2 linked regions of the Saccharomyces cerevisiae S288C genome follow. The gene in region 1 interacts genetically with each later gene. Each region holds a gene or a part of one and is shown on either strand. Other genes may lie near its edges.

Evidence for each region. Genes that interact genetically often act in the same process or in processes that back each other up.
Region 2: mutations in YIL055C (region 1) and DAN1 together harm fitness more than expected from each alone (negative genetic interaction), as found in Saccharomyces cerevisiae (one large-scale study listed by BioGRID).

The regions. Positions count from the first base shown.
Region 1 is NC_001141.2:249,349-257,960, reverse strand, and holds YIL055C (uncharacterized protein), read left to right. Parts: upstream 1-4,035; coding exon 4,036-5,919; downstream 5,920-8,612. Other genes in the region: isoleucine biosynthesis protein MMF1, read left to right, coding at 1-118; 60S ribosomal protein eL34 RPL34B, read left to right, coding at 898-934, 1,407-1,735; glycerol-1-phosphatase GPP1, read right to left, coding at 2,094-2,846; YIL054W (uncharacterized protein), read right to left, coding at 3,101-3,418; VHR1 (Vhr1p), read right to left, coding at 6,048-7,970.
Region 2 is NC_001142.9:708,311-712,561, reverse strand, and holds DAN1 (Dan1p), read left to right. Parts: upstream 1-2,854; coding exon 2,855-3,751; downstream 3,752-4,251. Other genes in the region: DAN4 (Dan4p), read left to right, coding at 1-307; YJR149W (putative nitronate monooxygenase), read right to left, coding at 4,188-4,251. UniProt on the Saccharomyces cerevisiae protein: Component of the cell wall.

The DNA.
Region 1 (8,612 bases):
CTCTGTATACGCCAAACACTTCCACACCCATAAGCCTGCAAGATCCTGTGTTGGTGTTGCTTCCTTACCTTTGAATGTTGATTTAGAAATGGAAGTTATCGCTGTTGAAAAGAATTGAAGGATTGAAACTTCTTTACTGCCTTTTTTCCACTTGCGATACCGAGGAGTGTACATTTATAAACATTTTAGTAGCATTCTTTAGCGTATATAAGATTTTAACTAAGAAAAGAAACGAATTTACGGAGTTTCAGAATCAGTTTCTTGCCGTTGTAGAAAATGTGAGGGGAGTTTCCCTCTACTTGTATCAATGTTACAAGACAGGGGTAGAAACCTATTACGTGTTGGAACTTATTTTCTTGAACACTCTAATCATAAATTCTAAAAAACTGTGACTGTGTTTTCGTCACAACTTTGCGGTGTACAGATGTCGTCACATACCGTGTGTTGTTTGGGTGTTTTCCTTTCAGCTTTTTTTTTTTTGAATTTTTGAATTTTTACTTTCATTTGCTTTCGGAGGTCCCGCTTCCGACAATAGTCCGCTTCATTTGTCCCTTCCCATGAAAGTTCATTCCTTTGGGCAGAGAGACCGTCCTTCTGGGAGGAGATGGAATTGACGCCTGGGGGAGGAGCCAGTAACAATTCTAACTCTTCCTCTTCCTGTCAGTGGCCCCAGCACCCGTTCAGACGGTATGGTAACGGGCTCTCAGGAGCCGTTTCATCGCAGCTGGTGGGTAAGTTTGGAATGTTTCAATAGCATTCTACGTAAAAGTTGATGAACTTATTAGTTGTAAGTAGTAAATAACGGGTAGTACATAGTATTTGGCACTTGTTATATTCTTTTGATTCAATTTACTTTGATTGAAACTGAGAATAGATTAGCAACGAACAACCCTAAAAATGGCTCAACGTGTTACTTTCAGAAGAAGAAATCCATGTATGTTACTGAACTATTTTTTTGAGTTTTCATGAAAACTTATTATGAACTTATTATGAACTTATTTTGAACTTTCATTGTGGGAAAATGAGGTTAAAAGGCGAACGAGTGCTATTTAGAGAAGCGTACCACTTAGAAATAGGAAGAACCAGATCATCGATAGGGGAATCAACTATGCAAGAACTTTCAAATATATTGGCATGACATTAAAACATTAGACAGCATGAACGAACAGTATCCAGTAATGTGGACAGCAATAAGTTGACTTCAGTTTCTAAGTGGAAGACCTTGGTCGACCCAAATGGAAAATGAATTTTTCTCCGCTGTTGAAAGATTGAAATGAGATAATATTCATTCAGCAACGCCGAAATACTTTTCATATGGAGCAATCCCACTCAAGTTCTTAAATCATAGGATAATAAAGAAGTGATTACTAACATTAATGGGAAAATTTTCTCTTTACTACGTACAGACAACACCCGTTCTAACAAAATCAAGGTTGTTAAGACCCCAGGTGGTATCTTGCGTGCCCAACACGTTAAGAAGTTGGCTACTAGACCAAAGTGTGGTGACTGTGGTAGTGCTCTACAAGGTATTTCCACTTTGAGACCAAGACAATACGCTACTGTCTCCAAGACCCACAAGACTGTTTCCAGAGCTTACGGTGGTTCCAGATGTGCCAACTGTGTCAAGGAAAGAATCGTCAGAGCTTTCTTGATTGAAGAACAAAAGATTGTTAAGAAGGTCGTTAAGGAACAAACTGAGGCTGCTAAGAAGTCTGAAAAGAAGTCTAAGAAATAAATTTAAATAAGCATTCCTTTTATAATTACTCTAACTTCTCGTCGTACTAAAAAAAAACACTTTTATAGTAAGATATAAAACAAAAACGAAGATTGAATCTTCCTTTTTTATTTCTGTGTTAAATTCTCTAAACCAGCTTGATTTGCGCGAACCACCTGTCACGGCAGATCATCCGAAGACGACAAAGAAAAGGATGCATTACATCGGTTTAAATTTTTCTATTCGTATTTTATAAGTATTATATTATATTATTAAGTCATGCAGATATAAAATTATACAATTGGTCGGAAATGGAGGGAAATCATACATTTTTATTTTATTTTTAGCGTAGTAGTTTTATCAAAAAAATAAAAGAAAATTACCATTTCAACAAGTCATCCTTAGCGTATAAGTAGTCATCAAAGATCAATTCGACTTCATCGGTTTCAGCGTTGTATTCACCGACTCTGATAGATTCGTGGTTCTTGACAATGATGTCACAACCCTTTTCCTTCAAGAAGTCCAAATCGAAAGTGGTAGCAATACCAACGATTTTACAGCCAGCAGCCTTACCAGCAGCAATACCAGCTGGTGCGTCTTCAAAGACAACAACCTTAGATTTGGATGGGTCTTGTTCATTAATTGGGAAACCCAAACCGTTTCTACCCTTTAAGTATGGTTCTGGGTGAGGCTTACCTTGCTTGACATCATTGGCGGTGATGAAGTATTCTGGTCTCTTGATCTTCAAAATGTCGAACCATTTCTTGGCCATGTCACGGGTACCAGAGGTGGCGACAGCCCATTTTTCCTTTGGCAAGGCGTTCAAAGCATTACACAACTTGACAGCACCTGGAACTTCGATGGAGTGTTCACCGTACTTTTCTGGGATTTCACCTTCTAGCTTGTTAACGTATTCTTCATCAGCAAAGTCTGGAGCGAACTTGGCAATGGCATCGTAAGTTCTCCAACCGTGAGAGATGTGAATAACGTGTTCGGCATCGAAGTAAGGCTTGTCTTTACCGAAATCTCTCCAGAAAGCAGCAATGGCTGGTTGAGAGATGATGATGGTACCGTCAACATCGAATAGAGCGGCGTTGATTTTCAAAGATAAAGGTTTTGTGGTCAAAGGCATTGCGATGGTTTGTATATTTGCTTTTGTTGTTCTGATATATTTTAAAACATTGAAACGTTTCATAACAAGGAAACTTGGAAAGAAAAAAATGGCAATCAAGAGATACTTACGAAAGATTTATATACATTATCAATTGAACGAAAATGAACAAGACGACAATATGAACAAAAAGGAAAGAAAGTGATTAACAGAGTAAGAAAAGAAAAAAAAAGGAAAAAAGAAAAGAAAAAAAGAAAAGAGGAACTCACACATCATCAAAGGTCAAAATGGTCAAAATGGTCAAAATTAAAAGACACAAAGGAAAAGGTGAGTAAGGAACAATAAAAGCACATACCATCATCAAACAGCGTTAAAAAAATTATGTTAATGATGATGATCGCAAGAGTAACAGTGATAATGGTGATGATGATTATTCCCATAAAGAAAACCGGACAATGAGAATCCTGCAATTTACCAGGCGCACGCGGGTTCGTGTATGCGAGAAAATGATACGGATTTCCTGCTTGTCTCACTATTAACGCGTGGCGGGGTAAGACCCAAGGAAGACAGACAAAAAAAGCCTTCGGGGCCATGCCATGTCATTGCCGTGGACTGAGACAATTACAATATTGCTTTTGTTCTCTTTCTTTTGACCCTGTGACGTGTTTCGTAAGAATCCCACTTAAGAGATGAAAAAGAAACGTGGTGGTACTTCGCACCCAGACCATACGTCTTCCACTCTCTTGATGGGAGCGGCGAGCTTCCGCACCCACACATTCTAATTGCCGCGCCTTCCTCCCACCCGTACAGAGTGATATCCCTTGGTACGATTGACCAGGGTGTGTGGCGCAAGCAAATTTTCCGTTTTAGTTCAATGATGTCTTAATTGACACTGCGCTTGTTTTGAGCGATGGGTTCGCAGCCCTGGAAGACCCGCAAAAAATTAGGGGAATGGAATATATTCTCTACTCCATTTTTCAAATGTTACCTTTTGTTTGTGTGCATTGTATTATTCCATAGTCGTAATGTTGGCCTTCTTTCGTGCGCTTTCCTAAAGGTTTTTACGCTTGCTTAACTGTTAAGTTAACAAGACTTCCTCCCACACTTGTTTCTTTCATTTTTTTTTTTTTTTAGATTGGTCTTGGCCTCCAGTTCAGTTGGCTGATACACGAGAGTTTGCTGTCTCTCCTTACAATACGCTTGCTTTATAATGACTCTAGAACCACACTATAGTGCCAAGTCGGCTGCTTCAGCCAGTGCCTTTGTTGCCCGTTCTGCGACCGAAAGCTCAACAGCAAGCACAAAAGCTGCTCCTAGGAAAAAGACGTACTCGCAGTCAAATGGTATTCCCATAAGGATTGATAATCTCCCTCCGGGCAAGACTTGGGCCCAGGTAAAATATTTGATAGGCGGAATCATATACCATACCAATATTTTACAGGTGAAAATGCTGCCTCCAATGACTTCCATGGTTCCTCCTTTTATTACTTTTCAGAGTTGCATTGTCATTCTGAAGAACTCGATAGATAACGAGTCCCTGGAAAACTTACTACTTACTTTGAACACCTACCAATGGGATTATCATGATCTGTTCGTTTACCTGTTGCCGTACACTAATGATTCTCCTTCACTGCGATATCCAGAAATCAGTGATAGCAACAATGACGTCCGGAGTGCTCCCGATGAAACTAAAAGATCTATTTCTCCTCGATATGCAAGCCATGTTTCATCTGTGACACCGCAGCCACCATCCGCTTCTACCCCACCTTCTCAATTTTTCAGTTTTTCTCCTGAAGTGAGCCTTCGAAAGAATGAGAACATAACGCCATTGCCCACGCCTGTTCCCGTACCTGTTGGTGTGCCACCTCTTGCTCCCCCGCCTCATGGTCCATTTTCGACTTCGATGCTACCTATGTTGGGTGCTCCTCCGGGAACGGTACCTAATATGCAGATGCCCTATCAAACTACTCTACCTTCACCAACAGCTGCTGCTACTGCTGGTGGTCCACTTGCTTCCCCTACACACTATCCCCGTCGTCGGCATTTCTATCACCAGAACCAAAGCCAGTTTCAAAAATACATGCATAATAGCCCCAGGAATCCAGATACTGGCACAGGCCCTCGTCTTTCTCAGCAGCATCACCTCTCCTTAAGGAACAATAAGATAAATCCCTCTTATAACGAAATATCTGCCCTTTACAACTTGAACATGGCCTCAAATTCCAATAATAATGGTAATATTCCCACTACAAGTACGAATGGTGATGACCGTGCCCTCCAAGCAAAGAATGGTGGAACAATTACACCTTCACAAACTCAAATAAATCACAAAAGATTAAAGCATATCTTTAACGAGAAAAGCTTTAGAAAACAAATGACGAATAGAGGTATGTGGCAGCTGAAGATCATAAATTTCCCACCCTATATACCTATAGAATTCTTGGAGAAATTATCAGAGTCTGATTTCAATGAGTTAATGAACCAAGAGAAGTTCACAGTTATTGAAATTAAAGAGAAAGGACAATTGGAAAAATTTGGAAGGCTAAGATGGACAGTTCTAAAAGATTTTATAAAACTGAAATGCCCCAAGCTATTAAGACTACAGGAAAGACAGTTTCTACAGCAACAAAACGAAGCATCTTTACTCAATGAATCTATGGACGCTCTAAAGATATCAGAAAATGAGAACACCAACGGGAGTGCAAATAATAGCACATACACAAATGGCGGACCTCGAACATCTATCAATAATACAAGGGAATTCTATGTAGGGGTTTATGAAGATCATGAAGAAGCAACTCTACTGAGGTTTGAATTACCGGAAGATGAATTAGAGGAGTTTAATAGAAATTTGCCAACTACTTTTGCACAAAGTGGAAACGTCTCTGACTCCGAAGGTGATAGCAAGGCGAAATACTTTAAAGTTAGCACAATTGTGTATAATGCCATTGTTGGGTTCCACGATAAAGAGCTGTCTGATTTGACGTTCGAATCCTTACAAGACCAGGAATATTCACTGGGGTACAAAATTCATGTAATGGAACTGCCACCATTTGACGAGGATGAATTTGAAAATCAACGGCAGCAGTTCTAAGCATGGATTAAGAGGATATTATTATTTTATCTTACATAAATATGTACGCGAATTGAAAAAGAAAAAAATATTGTGTAGAATGTGTATTAGGCAGTTATGTATGTAGACAATTTTGTTTTGTATTTTTATCAAAGTAAAGGCTGGAAAACCGGCTGTGGTAAATTGCCATTTTGAAAAGAATTTTTGTTCTTTGTAACGTATGGCGCTGGCACAGACTCGTTGTGGTCATTATTATTTGTGTTGGAGGTGGAGGTGCCAGTGTTTAAAGTAGTGTTGCTATTTTCTTCATTCATTGGCGATTTAGAGATCCTATTAAGGATGTTATCAAAGGCAGTTAAGCTTGATTTTTTTGGATCATCTTTTTCTTGTGGTACCAATGGAATAGAAGGCATAGAGGGGTTTTCACCTATGCATGACATTTTGGGCAACGTAATGGGCACTGGTATTTTTGCATCTTGTAGTGGAATGGTGGAAATGTCCTTAATTACGAGATGAATCTCGCTCGTGGAAAAGGAATCAAATAACTTTGCCAAACTTTCATCGTTCAAGAGGTTATCGTTATGGAAAATACCAAAATTCTTGTTCTTGTTGATAATATTAAATAAATTTTTACAGTTTTCCAAAACTTCAGACACCGTGGGTGGTCCATTGCTCAACTGGTGGAAAGTAAAGGCTTGCTCGCGATCATTAAATCTAATGATCACTCTGCGATTAACATCTTTATTGGCCGATTGAGGCTTCATTGGTAGCGTAGTTAAAAGTGTAGCTCTATTCGATAGAGTGTTATTATTATTCAACATAACGTCACTTGAAACGACAGGAGGGCTTCTCTTAACCCTCTTGTTAGGTGAAGATGATGGTGGTTCTGACGCACAGGAACTAGCCAAAGGATACTGAACCATCACAATATGATGTATGATTTCACTTAAAGGGTAAAGCGTGGGGTCGAAGCCAAAATCCTTGACAATACCACCTATGACCAAATACAGTAGCCTTAGTTGTACCTGAGCCGCGGGGAAATGAGATAAGTTATGTCTTGTAGCGGCACCGAACAGTCTTTGAGACAACAAAGCCAGATTTTCAGGAGAGCACGTCTTGGCAGTGATATACTTCATTGAAGAAGAGACCAAGTTGGAGAAAAATCGTTCGATAACGAATGCAATAGACATTCGGATTGACATTTCACCCAAAATCTCCAGATTTGCGTATATATCAATGGATCCTGCAGCCTGCGAAATGTCCTGACAAGTTCTTGATCTTTGGATTTGTAGGAGTAACTTTTCCCTCAGGAAAAATGGCACGGTAGAATCTATCGGGATGTTTGTGGTAATGTTAGGTTGCTGGCTGAGTGAAGACGTAGCAAAATGTGACAGGTTTGGCCCAGTATATGGGTCCTTGAGAGCTTGTTCTGATAGGGGTACGACATTCGTAACAAGATCGTGCACTAGCATGGTGACTATATCGTTATACTTTTGTTGGGTCGAAGTAACCGATGGAGATGAGTCATTTTGGGTGCCCACGGTTGGAAAAATGGTTCCGTTATGACTCTGGTGACTCATGAGAGGCTGGAACTTGTTTGAAAACTGGAAATCTGCAGCATAATTAGAACTAGGCAGGAAGTCCGAATTGGAGCGCTGGTAGATCGACGGAGAGATCTCGTCGTCAGAAGTAGAATTTGACGAGATGCTGTTGTTGACATTGCCGCCACTGCCATTGGCTATGCTGAGAGCGTAGCGTTTTTTTGATCGTTTTCTATTCCTTCTCACTGATTGCACAGCAGCAGTGACTAACTTTTCGAATTCCTTAGAGCAGCTTACAGGGTATCCAAACTCCGTTCTTAATATTGTAGCAATCTGCTTTATGTTTTGATCTTGTTCGCTTGCCTTATATTGACTTAGTTGGAATTTGTCTATCAGCTCCAGCCTTCTGCTCGAAAACTGTTTCCATTTCTTTTCATCATTAAAATTGAGTAATTCTCTAATCTTATGAGTTGCTCCATTCCCAGAAAACTTATTTATTCTATATTGAGTGAATGTTGGAGGACCGTTCATATGTGTATAGGATATAAGCAACGAAGAAGAATAGGTAGAAAGAGAATAAAGAAGGTTTTAAAGCTATAACTAGTAGAAAAGAAAAATGTAGGAAGGGAATGCGGATGCGTTTATGCTAAGATGCGATGGGGACAATAGAAAAAGAAGAGAAAAAAAAGGAAGAGGAAGAGGTAGTGGTATAGAGAAAGAGAGAGAAAAAAAAAGGCTAGTAGTATTTGTATAGTAGGGAAAGGGCTAGATTAGAACTGAACCAAGCTGACCTGAATTGACTCAATAACACCATTCTCACCCACACAAGTACCGAAGATCCAAAAGGCAAGAATCATGGAAGAGAGCACATTGATTTATAGTAAAAAAAAAAAAAAGAGAAGACGACGGTAGAAAGATTTCAGGGAACATATGGCTTACACTTATGCTGAAGAAGTAAGAGGGAGAAGCGAAGCAAATATAATCTGTCACAATGCACAGTGCGCAAACGTAATCTGCCCACTCAGCTAATAGCTCCTGCCATGATTCTGCTGCGTAGTCTATATGAAAGGAAACGAAGGTCAGAGATGAAAAAGAGATAAAAAAGAAAAGAAACTTCTCCGAGGGGCGCAGAATTCAGGGCAAAACAACATGGAATCGATCAAAAGTCATAGT
Region 2 (4,251 bases), on another chromosome or scaffold:
GGGTGCCTGTACCACCCTGACTACTGTCGATGCAGGGATTAGCATGTTTACCAGAACCGGATTGTCTATCACTCAAACTACTGTGACCAACTGCTCAGGTGGAACCTGTACCATGTTAACTGCACCAATCGCGACCGCTACCAGCAAAGTCATCTCACCAATTCCAAAAGCCTCCTCGGCTACTTCCATTGCTCATTCATCTGCTTCTTATACTGTCAGTATCAATACCAACGGTGCCTATAATTTCGATAAAGATAACATTTTTGGTACCGCTATCGTTGCTGTTGTCGCTTTATTACTGCTATAGTGATACAATATAATCTTCACAAGCATATAAACAATTGTAAAATAATTTAAATTGACTTGAAAGAAATTTTAAATCTATACTTGATTCATGTAGCACATAATACTACGGTTTGTGAACATACTCCTATACACTTTGAATGGTTTGTATGATATACAGGTATCTAAACATTAGTGTTACCAGTTCGTATATTAACACTAGTTAAATTTGAATCCTCTAAGGTATCGCCAACAAGTAAAATTTTACATTTAATTGAGAAGTTTTTTAATTTTTCTAAGAAAACATTAAAAATATCACAATATGGGCTTCAGCCTAAAATTATGGTTTTTTTTTTCCCTCATCCTTCATTTTATTACCTCCGTTTATTGACGTGTTCGACAACTCACATATGAAGCTTTAAATACTTTGTTCACTGTTAGTTTAAATAAAATTTAGCCTTTAGGTTAAAAATCGTGTCAAAAAAGGAATTCTTCCAAGAACATGAACTAAAGCTCTTCTTAAAATAAAGTTATGTAAGATAGAACTACGCGGCACAAAGATGGAATTGAGAAATAACGCTCCATAAAGTTGACGCTGCTAAATTCTAGGTCACAAGGCATTAGAAATGAGGGCCTTTGAAAAAATTTATTCAAGTAAACTGCTTTCTGAAGAGTTCGCTCTCATCGACATTGGTAGAAGAATAGTGTAGTGTAGTAGCAACCGTTAGTAGTTTATTAATGTCTAAAATTCAGTATAACTAAGAATAGAAGCAAGTATTCTTATACGGTATAGCAGAAACGTATAACTGATGCGGCGATGACGAATGTATTCAAAATGATGGTATTTCAGTGATTTGCTATATTTCCAATGTAATAACTCGCATCCCTACGTATATTAAATTTGAATTAACATTGAATTAATAGATCTTTAACGTAACTTCTTCCGCTAGTTTCGCAGTAGTATCTTGTTTCCTAGCCTGGAGCTATGAAGTATACTGTTTGGTCACTTTATTCAGTTACTATGGTTACTAAAATTATAAACCACCCGTTCCGACAACGACAATGAAGATCTATTTTGCAAATTTGGAACAGAAATAACCATAACCATGAGGTTCGTTATCGTTGACTACATATTACAATCCGAAATGAACATTCGGCCTAGAATGCATTGTACCTTTACAATACTTTGTAAAACATCTTTCAATGTGTATTTTCCTAGCTTAGGTAACACAACTAGGTAACTTATTGGGATGGTTGAGTCTTAAGTGCAGGCCATTTATTATCAATACTGAATCTTGTATGTTTTTGTCAACTCTTGACAGAAAGCTTCAGTCAGCGAAGCAAACTTTCGACCTTCTGTATCATATTTTTCTGCTCTATTTATAGCGAAAGAGAGAAGCCTACAAGAGGATAAGTACTAATCTTGTGATTATTGATTTTCTCCAAAGATTGGGAAAATTACTTAGTTGCACAGCGGAAATGTTTCGATCTCTGACTTTGTAATCGTCAAAATATTCTAGCAGAGCGCAACTTATTTAATTCATACTGTGCGTTCTCCTTGTGGTTTCTAAGACAATCTTTGAGCATGTTTATGGATGCACTTAGGGGTCCTACAAGCCTTCGTATGAAGTTGCCCCTCGCAAGCACACTATAAATTCATGAACAATTGCGCAGTCAAAGTTAGATTGTAAGCCGAATTCAAACGATTTCAACAGTCGTAGCTAACGAGGCCTTTTGTCTCACACCCTTACAAAGGGACTGTAGAATGCAAGGGCAAACAGGCCTGAGGTAACTTTAAAATATAATGTACCTTGAAAACTATGTATACATTGCATTTATTAAGCAGTAGGGTATTTTGTTTGCAAGAAAATAAAGCTCAAAATATCTTTGGAGTTTGACAATAGTATAGAAAAAATAGCTCAGCAACCTTAATAAAAAAAGGGTCATTGGGCAAAGCGTTTTAAAAAGATTTAAGTGGTAGTGTTTAAAGTGAAAGAGATTGATATAGTTAAAAATTGTTGAGCTCAATTCACGCTGGATTCGGCGATCCGTTTTCTTCAATCCTCACGTGCTTTCTTCGTTTGAGTGCAAAAGTTCATATGATGCTATCTCCCGCTTATCTTATTAGTCGAAAATGGGGAGAATTTCCTATTTTATCTGTCGTTTAGCACATATGGCCAGGAAAATACATAAGGTTTCGCCGAACGACGGGGTCAATTCGTCCTTTTTGTACACATCGTTTAATTTATGAGGAAAAATTGATGAATGTATCCTCCGTAGACGCTCCTCTGAAAAGTTTCATGTTTCCTGCGCGTTCCTTTGATAGGCAATAAAACAATACAACGCGTGCCTTTGAAAATGCCAAGATCTATACGAGGCCTCTAACAAAACATCGTTCAGGAACAGAGAATGCTAGAAATGCAAAAGGGTCCCTGGGTACTCATTGAATAGAAATGATTGAAAATACTGCGTATAAAATAGCACGACTAAATGATACTATTTTTATGTCGACACGGTACTATTTCTTCTTTTTCAGATAAAAGTGTAGCATACTAAATATATACCCCAAGTAATGTCTAGAATTAGTATATTAGCTGTCGCCGCAGCATTAGTGGCAAGTGCAACCGCCGCATCCGTGACCACCACTCTATCCCCTTATGATGAAAGGGTCAATTTGATTGAATTGGCTGTTTACGTTTCTGATATTGGCGCCCATTTATCTGAATATTACGCTTTCCAGGCTTTGCATAAGACTGAAACATACCCACCTGAAATTGCCAAGGCTGTTTTTGCCGGTGGCGATTTCACCACCATGTTGACTGGTATTTCAGGTGATGAAGTGACCAGAATGATCACCGGTGTGCCATGGTACTCTACTAGATTGATGGGTGCTATTTCCGAAGCACTTGCGAATGAAGGTATTGCTACTGCAGTACCAGCTTCTACCACAGAGGCTTCTTCCACCTCCACTTCAGAAGCTTCTAGTGCCGCCACTGAGTCTTCTAGCTCCTCTGAAAGTTCAGCAGAGACCAGCTCAAACGCTGCTTCCACCCAAGCTACTGTTTCATCTGAATCTAGCTCTGCTGCAAGCACCATTGCAAGTTCTGCTGAAAGTTCTGTTGCAAGCTCTGTTGCAAGCTCTGTTGCAAGCTCTGCTAGTTTTGCCAATACCACAGCTCCAGTTTCTTCTACATCTTCTATCTCAGTCACTCCAGTGGTCCAAAATGGTACTGACAGCACCGTCACAAAGACTCAAGCTTCCACTGTTGAAACTACCATAACTAGTTGTTCAAATAACGTCTGTTCAACTGTGACTAAGCCAGTCTCCTCCAAAGCTCAATCTACAGCTACTTCTGTCACATCGTCAGCATCTCGTGTTATTGACGTTACCACTAACGGTGCTAACAAGTTCAATAACGGTGTTTTCGGTGCCGCTGCTATTGCTGGTGCCGCCGCTCTATTGTTATAGTGATCATGTGCGGCCCTGTACAGTTGTATAAATGATGTAAAATAATTGAATTCTCTTAATTTTAATATTTATAAGATATATACTATAAGCGTAAGGAAATTCCAAAGAAATTTGTTTTTTAGTTTGCAGTCTTGTGCTCCAACTATTTCCGGTCCTTTTCGAATTTCATGTCAGGAGCATTCCTTATTGCAGACAGCTTAACAGAAAAAAAACTGTGAAAAAAATAAATACCTTTAGATATTAAAGCCCTAAATTGATATCAAATTTTTTCCATATTTGGATTTTGTATTCCTTAAAGCCCACATCCTGTGAACGGTTACGCTCAAATAATGGCCAAGTAACCTACGATCCAATAGCGACGTATATATATCATATAGAAAAAGGTCATCCAGAAAATTTGTGTCAATAAGTATCAGGTCTTTTATATGTATTTATATTATTTTCCGTCAATTTTCAATCTTGCGCCCATAGTTTCAATTTTCTTGTCTGTTGTGATTCCT